Oryctolagus cuniculus: one gene and its partners. The protein of the gene in region 3 purifies or fractionates together with the protein of the main gene of each other region. This does not show direct contact. Links are inferred from orthologs where the notes say so. Each region holds a gene or a part of one and is shown on either strand. Other genes may lie near its edges.

What was found. Proteins that work in one complex are often made in the same cells at the same time.
Region 1: the proteins of CLTC (region 3) and PTPN23 purify together in Homo sapiens (affinity purification with mass spectrometry; 3 studies listed by BioGRID and IntAct, with this or other methods). This does not show direct contact. The link is inferred for Oryctolagus cuniculus from reciprocal best matches to the Homo sapiens genes CLTC and PTPN23.
Region 2: the proteins of CLTC (region 3) and AP2M1 purify together in Homo sapiens (affinity purification with mass spectrometry; 3 studies listed by BioGRID and IntAct, with this or other methods). This does not show direct contact. The link is inferred for Oryctolagus cuniculus from reciprocal best matches to the Homo sapiens genes CLTC and AP2M1.

Annotation. Positions count from the first base shown.
Region 1 is NC_091441.1:101,439,993-101,443,330, forward strand, and holds the end of PTPN23 (tyrosine-protein phosphatase non-receptor type 23), read right to left. Parts: coding exon 2,149-3,338; intron 2,062-2,148; coding exon 1,877-2,061; intron 1,790-1,876; coding exon 1,685-1,789; intron 1,602-1,684; coding exon 1,463-1,601; intron 1,389-1,462; coding exon 1,275-1,388; intron 1,200-1,274; coding exon 717-1,199; 3' UTR 501-716; downstream 1-500. Other genes in the region: SCAP (sterol regulatory element-binding protein cleavage-activating protein), read left to right, coding at 1-188. UniProt on the Homo sapiens protein: Plays a role in sorting of endocytic ubiquitinated cargos into multivesicular bodies (MVBs) via its interaction with the ESCRT-I complex (endosomal sorting complex required for transport I), and possibly also other ESCRT complexes.
Region 2 is NC_091435.1:93,758,148-93,761,449, forward strand, and holds part of AP2M1 (AP-2 complex subunit mu), read left to right. Parts: intron 1-997; coding exon 998-1,263; intron 1,264-1,980; coding exon 1,981-2,063; intron 2,064-2,611; coding exon 2,612-2,747; intron 2,748-2,847; coding exon 2,848-2,989; intron 2,990-3,302.
Region 3 is NC_091448.1:34,984,464-34,987,963, reverse strand, and holds part of CLTC (clathrin heavy chain 1), read right to left. Parts: coding exon 3,313-3,500; intron 2,100-3,312; coding exon 2,079-2,099; intron 1-2,078. UniProt on the Homo sapiens protein: Clathrin is the major protein of the polyhedral coat of coated pits and vesicles. Two different adapter protein complexes link the clathrin lattice either to the plasma membrane or to the trans-Golgi network.

The DNA.
Region 1 (3,338 bases), on a different chromosome or scaffold from region 3:
GCCAGGGATGTGTTTCTTTTTGGGACCTAAACTACGGGGACCTGTTACAGACAGTCTACCTGGGGAAGAACAGTGAGGCCCAGCCTGCCCGCCAGATCCTGGTGCTGGACAATGCTGCCATTGTCTGCAACTTTGGCAGTGAGCTCAGCCTAGTCTATGTGCCCTCTGTGCTGGAGAAGCTGGATTGAGCCCTCCGTGCCCAGGCACAGGGGGGAGAAGCCTTGTGGGCCAATGCACTGGACTGAGACTTGGGGGAGGAGTTGGGTGTCCTCTGGCAGCTGCCTCTTGACTGTAATAAACATTTTTTAAAAATAACATCTGTTAGAGGTCTTGTGAACCACTCCTCTCTCCTGGAGGAATTCCTGCACCATTTCCTGAGCCTAGATCCCCTGTAGAGTTGCTCAAAGAGGAAAATGGGGGAGGGGTTTCCACATTTTCAACAGAGTTGAAGCTGGGGCTCCCTCCGCAAGGCAGCAGGGAACAGACTATGAGACACTGGCCACAGAACAGGGTGGTTTATTTCAGTAGCAAAGAACTGAAAAATGTCAGGTCCCACAAAGGAGCAGAACCGACCCACGGCCCGCAGTGCACAAGCTGGGCCAGGGAGGGATGAAGGCAGCAGGAATGGGAACCAGCGGCTGTGCTCCCCGCAGAGGCCTGGCTGGGCATGAGCAGGTGGGCAAGGAAGATGTAGTGTGGACCAGACAGGCAAAGCCTCAGCAGGTCTTGTTGAGTGTCCAGAGTGGATCGAGAAGGCTGAGGGGGTCATCAGAGGGCCGGGCAGCCCGCAGACCCTGCCCATTATGGGCCTGGAGAAAGTTCTGCTTGCTTATCCGCTGTTTTCCCCGCAAGGAGCCGTCCAGGGAGAAGGCCTCTGGGGTTAAGGAGGCCAGCAGCTCCAGGGAGGAGGAGGGGGGCCCCAAGTTGGGGGCTTCAGGCACCGGCTGTTCCTTCTCAGGCTGGGGGGTTTCAGGCAAGGGTGAAGAGAGAGGTGGTGGAGAGGAGGAAGGGATCGGGGGGGGCTCTGGGAGGCTGGCTGGCGGCAGGCCTGGGGGCTCTGCAGGGCCTGGCAAGCTGGCAGCCGAGGAATCCAAGCCCCCAGAAGGCCGGATACTGAGCTTGGCGATGGTGGCCTGGATGGAGCTGATGGGCACATCGCCGCCGAGAACCAGGTCCTGGGAGTCCTGAGGAAGGTGATTCTGCGAAGACGCGGTCAGTGAGGAGAGGGATGCGCAAGCTGTGGCTGCCCGCAGCCTCCGGGGACCCTTACTCACCTTCTGGCTGGTGCTCGTGCTGGCCACAGGTTTACAGGGAGGGGGCACGCCGTGGCGCTGCAGCACCTGCTCCACGTGTCTCACTACTGCCTCGTGGCAGAACCTGAGGTGCAGCTGCAGGGGGGCACTGGGCTTGGTCAGCTGGCGGGGGACTTGGGCCCGAGGCCGCCACCACCCCCCCAGCTCACCTTCTCCTGCAGCATGTGCTTCCTCTGCTGCCGCATGCGCCGCACCAGCTGAGGCAGCTCCGGGATCCCGTTCCCAGCCTCCACCTCCTGCACCGCAGCGTAGAGCAGTGCAAAGGCCCCTGTGCGGCCCACACCAGAGCTGAGGCAAGAAGGGGGGCGGTGTGTGAGGCCAGGCCAGGGGCCCACGGAGGAGGAGCCCATGGGCTACTGCCTGCTCCCTACCTGCAGTGCACAATGATGGGTGTGTGCAGTGGTCGCTGGTGCAGATAATGTGCGTGGACCTCCTGGATGAAGCGTAGCAAGTTGCTGGGGCTGTCAGGCAGGCCTCTGCGGGGTTGGGCATCGTCCGTGAGCCAGGTCTAACCTGAGGCGCTCCCTCTACCCACTCCCAGAGATCTAAGGCAACAGACTCACAATTCAGGCCAAGTCGGGAAGTGGAGATGTACGAGAGAGCGCTTGAGGCTTTGGTCACGGAACTGCAGGCTCAGGACACGCTCCACGTGGGTTTCAGTGGTACGCACGCTGCTCAGTGCCAGGCTCAGGGCGCCGTGCACCATGGGCTGGCCCCTCTCAGTGGGGAAGTAGCGTGCTACCTTTTGCTGAGGAGCAGACAAGACAGGAGCCACAGGTGATCTTCAGGACCACCCCCCACTCCCCCAGGGAGCACCCAGCCAACTCGGACTTACCTTCTCCATCTCTGCTTCAGACACCAGCATGACAATGACTGATACTTTCTGCTCATGCACCATGAGCCAGAAGTCAGCCGCTGTGCCAGGCAGTGGGGCCTGAGTAGCCACTAAGGGTGGGCAGTATGGGGAGAGCCCCTCCACACAGCTGGCATTGATGTAGTCGTCCTTGCCTGAGCGCAGCACCACGCGGTTGCTGTCATAGGGCATGACGTCCTGGTGCCGGTTCTTGAGTGAGTAGCAGCGGGCAATGGCGATGGAGCGGCCTCGGGCATCCTGCTCCTGGGCATCTTGGAGCTCCCGCCAGGTGGCATCCAGAGCAGCCGCGTCCCCCAGTTGACCCCGAAAGGCCTCCAGCTCCTGCTGCAACCGCCGCAGCTTCTCAGGATGCTCGTAGGGGTCCCGCTCGATAAGTCGCAGGGCCTGTGGCCGACGGCCTTCAGCTGCATCCACCTTGGTAGGCTGCAGCAGGGGCTGCCCACCCCCCGGAGGCTGAGGACCACCGTGCTGGCTCTCTGGGCTGGAGGAGAGCAGGTCTGCGGCAGCAGTGCCTCGGCGCAGGCAAGGGGGTGGCTCTGCTGCTGGGGGCCGAGAAGGGCCTGGGCCAGGCCCTGGCGAAGGAGCAGGTGAAGGCACCAGGTGGGGGCTGGGGCTGGGCTGGCCAGCAGGAGGTGGGCCTCGAATCGAGAGAGGGGCGGCCTGGGGGCCCAGTGGCCTGGGGGAAGGAGCAGGAACATAGGCCAGGTTGGGATGGGGAGGTTGAGGGGGCCCAGGGCTGGGGAAAGGCAGAGCCCCTGAGTGGGGTGCCAGAGGCTCTTGAGAGGGGCCTGGGTAGAGCTGGGGGTGCAAGGAGGGTGGTGGTTGCCCCAGGACACCAGACTGGGGGGCAAAAGGGTAGGAGGGTTGTGGAGGCAGGAGTCCTGGGGCCTGGGATGGGAAGAGGGGTGCATGCTGGAGCGGAAGGGGCTGCTGGGCCGGCTGAGGGCCAAATGCCACTCGAGAAGCAGGAGGCTGCGGCCCAATCCTGGGGGCTGGAAATCCTGCGGGGATCCCAGAGGAGAAGGGGTGCTGGGCTGGGGGTAATGTCAGGGGTTGCTGGGCCCCCACAGGGTAAGTATAGGGCGGGGGCATTGGGAAGCAGGGCTGGGGAGGAGGAGCAGGAGTAGGGTTGGGCCGGGGTGCAGCATGGC
Region 2 (3,302 bases), on a different chromosome or scaffold from region 3:
AAGAGCTTGAGATAAATAGTCAGGAAAATGGGCCTGTAGCAGTGCCCGGCTTCTTGGCTCCCTGGCTGATGGGCTGGCCTGGCCTTTGTGGCTGTTTGCCCCTTACCTGGTGGCACGGCATGAGCTAGACTTGGGGGCAACACCTGGCCTGTGTGACCTGGCTGGCTGGACCTGGCCAAGCCGGGGCAAGGTCACACACTACCTTGCATGCCTTGCTGTGCTCTTATCCCTTGCCTGTCTTGTCTGCTGCCACCTCATGGTGTGTGCCGTCCTCCCAGTGTGTCGTGTGTCTAACCCTCTCTCTCGTTGCTGTCACTCTCCTCTTCTTGCTGGCGTCATTTCTCTCATCCCATCTCATTGGCTGCCGTAGCAATAGGTAAGGGGCCTGTCAAGCTGCTGCCCAGGTACAGGTGGGTGGGGGACCTTGCCCACCCCACCCCCACCCCTGTAGTCCTTCATTCCTTGAACTTGTCCTGGAGTTGGATCCCAGACAAGAACGGGTGGCACAGCTCCATGGTCCCATGGTACTTCTCCCGCAGAAGGGCAGAGCCTTCTCCAAACTCACGCTTTGTGTAACTTCTAGAGGCGTCAGCTTTGCCCACTGCAGGGGCTGCTAGTGGGAGGACTAGAGAAGAAGCAGGCTCTCATTCTCTCATTCTCTCTTGTCCTGGAACTTACCAGGACGCTAGAGGTGGCAGCTGGTTATAGGTAGGAAATTGGAAGCAGGCCTAGCAGTCAGGGACATGGCTGCCCAATCTGAAGAGCTTTAGTTTATTAAGCTTACGTCTGCCTTCCTGCACTGCCTCTTCACTTCCCTGTTTCTCATGGTCTTTGGCCCAGCTCAGGCCACCTCCTGTGCCCCACTGGTTCCCTGCTGGTGTAGGCATTGGCTATAGACTGTGTGACAGACTTCAGCTGTGAGGAGGGTGGGGCTCTCAGCAGCTGTGGTTGGTCCCTGAGGTTTGCCTGAGCAGTCCTGTGCACCCTTTCCCCTCAGGAGGAATGCAGTGGACGCCTTCCGGGTCAATGTTATCCACGCCCGGCAGCAGGTGCGCAGCCCCGTCACCAACATTGCTCGCACCAGCTTCTTCCATGTTAAGCGTTCCAACATCTGGCTGGCAGCTGTCACCAAGCAGAATGTCAACGCTGCCATGGTCTTCGAATTCCTCTATAAGATGTGTGACGTAATGGCTGCCTACTTTGGCAAGATCAGCGAAGAAAACATCAAGAACAATTTTGTGCTCATATACGAGCTGCTGGATGGTAAGGCCAGTGGGGCTGTGGGCCTAGGGTGGGGATGAACCCGACTGGGCCCAGCCTGGTAGCGGGAGCTGGGTGGAAGCTGCGGTGCATGCTGAACTTTCTGGAGTGTCTGCTCTCTCGGGCTGGGATTAGGCCAGTTCAAATCCAGGCCTAAAGGCTGCCCTGAAGTGGAACACAGAAGTAGGCCAGCAGGTGGGGGCTGGGGAAGTTTCAGCTGGAACGTGACTCTGGCTTCCGTGCCTGGACCTCCCGTATTCTCTTCCTTCCTTGGTGGTTTGCACCTTCGTTCACCTCCTCCCAGCTCTCTCTCCATCTTGGCAGCTGCTTTGGAGCCTGGGAAAGGGCGAGGTGTTACAGGCCCCTTGGGGTGCACTGCTACCTCTGTTTTCTGAAAGGTGTGCTCTGCACATGAGCCCTCCCACTTTCCCATCATCTGTTTTCTAAAGAAAACAAGGTCTCAGCCTTTTGACCTCTGACCCACTGGGCACGTGACACTTCTGCTGATTTCTTTACTTGAAAAAAATCAAACACTGTCCTGTTTTCTTACAAAGCACAGAACCCAGGGTAAATGCTGCAAAGCTGAAGGGAGGATGCTGTGAATGATTCTCCAGGGTCTTTGCCAGCTTTGCTGGCCAGACGTGTCCAGGCCAGGGGAGGGACTAGAATGAAGGCACCTTCAGCTCTGTCCAGGGCCTTATGATTCCCTTCCTTTTGCAGAGATCCTGGACTTTGGCTACCCACAGAACTCTGAGACAGGCGCTCTGAAAACCTTCATTACCCAGCAGGGCATCAAGAGTCAGGTACTCACATTGTACAACCACTGTTGGGGTGGAACCCAACTTCCCTTCATGCCAGCTGGCCCCAGCCTTGTCCGAGCTGACTCATGAGTCCGCCCTTGACAGGAAGTACTGGCTTGAGCCTCCTGCCATGACTGTAGTCCTCTTTTGTCCATGTGGCTCTCCCCACCGCCCAGGCAGGAGCAGCTGACTCAGCATCTCTGTTACCGGGAATGCATCTCAAGCAGTTTCTTCCTGCACTGGGGGCAGGGGTGGGCTGTCTAGAGGAGCATGCTGGGCCTGCTTCTAGGATCCAGGCCTCATGGCCTTCTCCTTCTTTTCTGCCTCTCCTGCGGCTTCGTGTGGGCGCCTTGTTGGTCCTGCGGCCTACAGCATCAGGTAAGCCGTCCTGTATGTCCACCCTTGCAGCTTTGCGCTGTTTCTGCAGGCCTTGCACCATGCAGCAGGTGGAGACTAGAAGGGAGGAGGGATGAGGCTGCAGTGGGGACCCAGACAGGAGGATTAAAAGGAGAGAGGAGTGAAACCTCTGCTGCATCTCTGCCTCCACTTAGACAAAAGAAGAACAGTCCCAGATCACCAGCCAGGTGACTGGGCAGATCGGCTGGCGGCGAGAAGGCATCAAGTATCGCCGGAATGAGCTCTTCTTGGATGTGCTGGAGAGTGTGAACCTACTGATGTCCCCACAGGGTGAGGGCCCTCTTATGGGACAGCCAGAGGAGGGGCCAGGGCAGGATGCAGAGCCTGCCTGTTTGACTCAGCTGCTCCCATTTATCTGTTTGGTCACCAGGGCAGGTGCTGAGTGCCCATGTGTCCGGCCGGGTGGTGATGAAGAGCTACCTGAGTGGCATGCCCGAGTGCAAGTTTGGGATGAATGACAAGATTGTAATTGAAAAGCAAGGCAAAGGCACAGCTGATGAAACAAGCAAGAGGTGTCTGATTCAGGGGAGCAGTGGGAAAGGGCAGGCCTTAGAGGGCTCAGTGGGGTCTGGGGGAGTTCTTTCTCAACTTCATTTCTGTTGTAATCCTACTGTCTTCCCAAGGGTGTGCTTGGCTAGTTGCTCTTGACACCAGTTCTAAGAGCAATGAGAGATGAGGGGTTTGTCTACCCTGCTCTCGTCAGAGGACAAGCCCTTTGGTGGGTCTTCAGGACCGAGCTTGCACCTGCTGATGCCTCTGCCTGGTGTGCCTGAAACACCCGAGTCCTGAGCAGCAGCATCTTGAGGGGAAGGGCATGCAAAGCTC
Region 3 (3,500 bases):
TACAGACTGAATGATCACACTACAAATCATCCCAGTATCAAATTAAAGACTATCATTAAGTATAAGCACAATGTTAAATACCCACTGTTCGGCATCCAAACTTAAAATAAAAATTGTTACAGCTATCGAATTTAAAGCACACTTCTGTGCCATCAAGGGTCAGATGGGGGTTTTACTAAACCGGTATCCAAGAGTGAACTATAGGAGTTAGGCAGAAAAATTACATGGATGCCTGTACATTAATAACTTCTAAGAAAAATGAAGTAACCAAAAACCACCATAATACATTTCAGGACTTTCAAGGAAAAGAATCTAAAGTGAACTAACACCTGTTTAAAAAATTAATGTCTGACTCAGATGTTGAACACAGAAATCCTATTACAGAAATACATGGAAGACTTAGAAAAGCTAGCAATACCACAATGCCCAGGCATAGATACAGGCAGGTTGGTTGTAAGAGGGGAAAAAACAACAAAAATTCTGAAGGAATAGCATCAAGTTAAGCAAAAAGTTTTTGATTTTTCTATGTAATAGGACAGCCTCTGGCACAGTAACATCCAATTTGTTTCCACTAACCCAATTTAGATTGCTCAAAAAAGGAAAGCAGAGAAGGCTTTTATGAACACAAGCTTTTGTTAAGAGCTGTAACAAAAGTTTCTGATCCTTGCATTAAAAATGAAAAATTACAGGTAAGCAAGTCACCGAATTCAGTTCCATCTGTGCTACTGAAAATTCACTAAAAGGCTTTTCCACAGGGACTGCAATATGCTGCAGAGGAAAAGTTAACATGCAGTCAGTTATTCTGGTGTATGTGTGCATGAAAAAAAGGCAAAAGTACTGAAGCAAGAAGTGAGATCTGAGGATGACTGTTGCTATACAGGCTCTCAAGAAACACACACAGCCCACAGCAATGCTATAGTTTCAAAGTAGTATGATGTAATCGCAATGACTTGTACATGCTTGATTGAGAACAATGCATAACACTGCAGTTCAATTACCTATTTTTTCACACACACGCTTTCTAACTGCCTTGCTTACTAGCTGCTGAAGGGTCTCACACACAATGCATTTTACTCAGGTTTGCCCTAAGTTCCAGTGGTGACTCCAGTTTGGTTCAATATAATCCCAAGGCTTTGTCCCCACTTAAATACTTTTCAATTTGTTTCAACTCTCCTTTACCTTCCCATCCTTTTCTAACCAGAATTTGGAAGTTTATTGTTTTATTTATATAAGATGGAGACAAGCCAATGAAGGCAGCAGCACCCAAAAGGTGCCTCAATTTGACCTCTGACAAGCCAAGTGATTGAAGAGAGCGCAAATTTTAGGTATCTTAAGTTATGTACCTTATTTCAGGAAGAAGTCAATATTGCTTTGTTATCAACAGAAATAATCCATATTGCTTAGCAACAATTACAGCAAACTTGGCTCTCATATAAAAAGGTTTTGAGTCTTCTTAAAAATAGACTAGCACCATAAGAACTGGACACCTGGAGAAACATGAGGAAAGTCTCTTCGGAAGCAGCTAGTATCTCTTCTATCTACTTTCAGCAAAAAATTAGTAAGAATCAAGAGATCAGAAACTGGATCACAGTCCTTCAATATAAAAAAAAAACCCCAAAAAGCCTTTTAGGGCATGTATACACATATATAAATTCAACAACTGTCAGGAAGCTCACAAAATAAAACCAGAGGCTGTTTTAATTTATTTCAAGTTATTAAGAAACTCCTACTACAGTCAGATACCCTGACAAGGAAAAGAAATTTCCTGATAGTTTAGAATTAATATGAAAACTCACCAAGCTCAGTTTTTAATAACGTATTTAAGACAGACTGTGAACCAACTACTGATTAGCCTCCTGCCCTTCCTAAAGCCTATTAGCCGATTAGTAGCAAACATCTACTAATGTCCTACAGCTCTATTATCGTTATGTTTCAAGGGACTTGCAGAGGCTTTAGTGAAAATTTATTGGGGGGGAAAAAGCAGCAGCAGCAGTGTAGAAAAGGAAGGAAAAAAAAATCATGCAAATTCCTTAGACTTAGTCCTCCAGACTTAAAGATGGAAAAGAATCAACTTTCACCTTTTCCTTTATTGCATCAACCTGCAAAGGAATTCAGAAGGTGCAGCTTAGAAAAAAAATCAAATTCCATATTGAGCATAAAAAGGTAGAATCAGCAACAAAGGTTTAGGGAGAAACATCTAACCACTAAAAAAGTATAAGAGAAGTGAAAATAAAGGGCATACTGGAAGCAAAATGGAGAAATTTTTTTTTAACTTCAGAGCTTATTGCAGAAGAATTTATGCTACAGTCAGTGTGAAAGAAAGCAGCTTAATCACTAGTAAAATTTACGGCACTTAGGTTAACAGCAGCTTAGAGCCAGGTCTCAAAAGTTGGTATAATGCATAAGAAAAGAAGCTATTCTCATGTAAGCTAAGATAGGGCAAACTGTTTTTACCTCTTACACTGAACTTTACAAAGAAAATGTTAATTCTTTAAGAACTGTAACCAAATACAACAGTATTTAATTAGGTGATATCTTAAGGAAAACTTCAGTGTCCTGGGGGTTGTGAATAGTGCTTTCTATCCCCCTTTAGTCATGCTGAAGGTATCAGACGTGAGACTCTGATTTTAAGCCTTTTTTTTTTTTTTTTTTGACAAAATGGATCCTTTGTAATCATTTTAAAATGTTCTAAAACCAGAAAGCTAAAAACTGTTAAGGATAAGGTGAATAAAAAAATAACATTTAAAAGGGACACTAAGATTAACAAGTCAATTTTATAAGGTAGATTATACCCCCAGCTTGTTCTAGTTGTTTTAAGAAACGTGGTTAATTATTAACCTCCTATGATATTTTAAAGTCAGGGGTTATATCAAAAATTGTGAAAATCAACCAGATGTTAAGAAGCCATATACAGTTTTCCCAGGGGGAACAGGCACAGACATTAAAGTCAGGAACAAACCAAATAAAGGGAAATTTAAAATATTAGTTATGGCCACCTAAGTTACAATGATTTTGATTTTTCCTATTTTGATACATTTTTATCACATGTTAATAGACAACGAAATACGGAATATGATTATTCATTGCCAGAAATACACTAAGGGTAAATATTCTGACAAGTTATGATTGTACTCTTTCCAACAAATGTCATTTGTTAGCTAATAAAAATTTCTAAAAAACAGGAATATTTTATCATCACCTAAATTACTTACTTCTACTAGAGAAAAAAAAATTTGAAAAAATAGACCTGTAAGTAGATTTTTATATATCCTCAAGACAGTTAGATCTGAATATGCTCAGAGGTATCATTACCTTTGTCAAGTATTCCTTCATGACCTGGATGAAATAGGGCATGGCAAAATCCATGATATTGTGCCTCCATGCGGTTTCCAGGACAACATCTGGCCTTAAAAGATCGTAACAAGTAAAGAGACAAGCTCCAAAGCATTCTCTTTTTTCTTCCTGCAAAAACCACTGTAGAAGTTCTTCGGCCAGCTCAG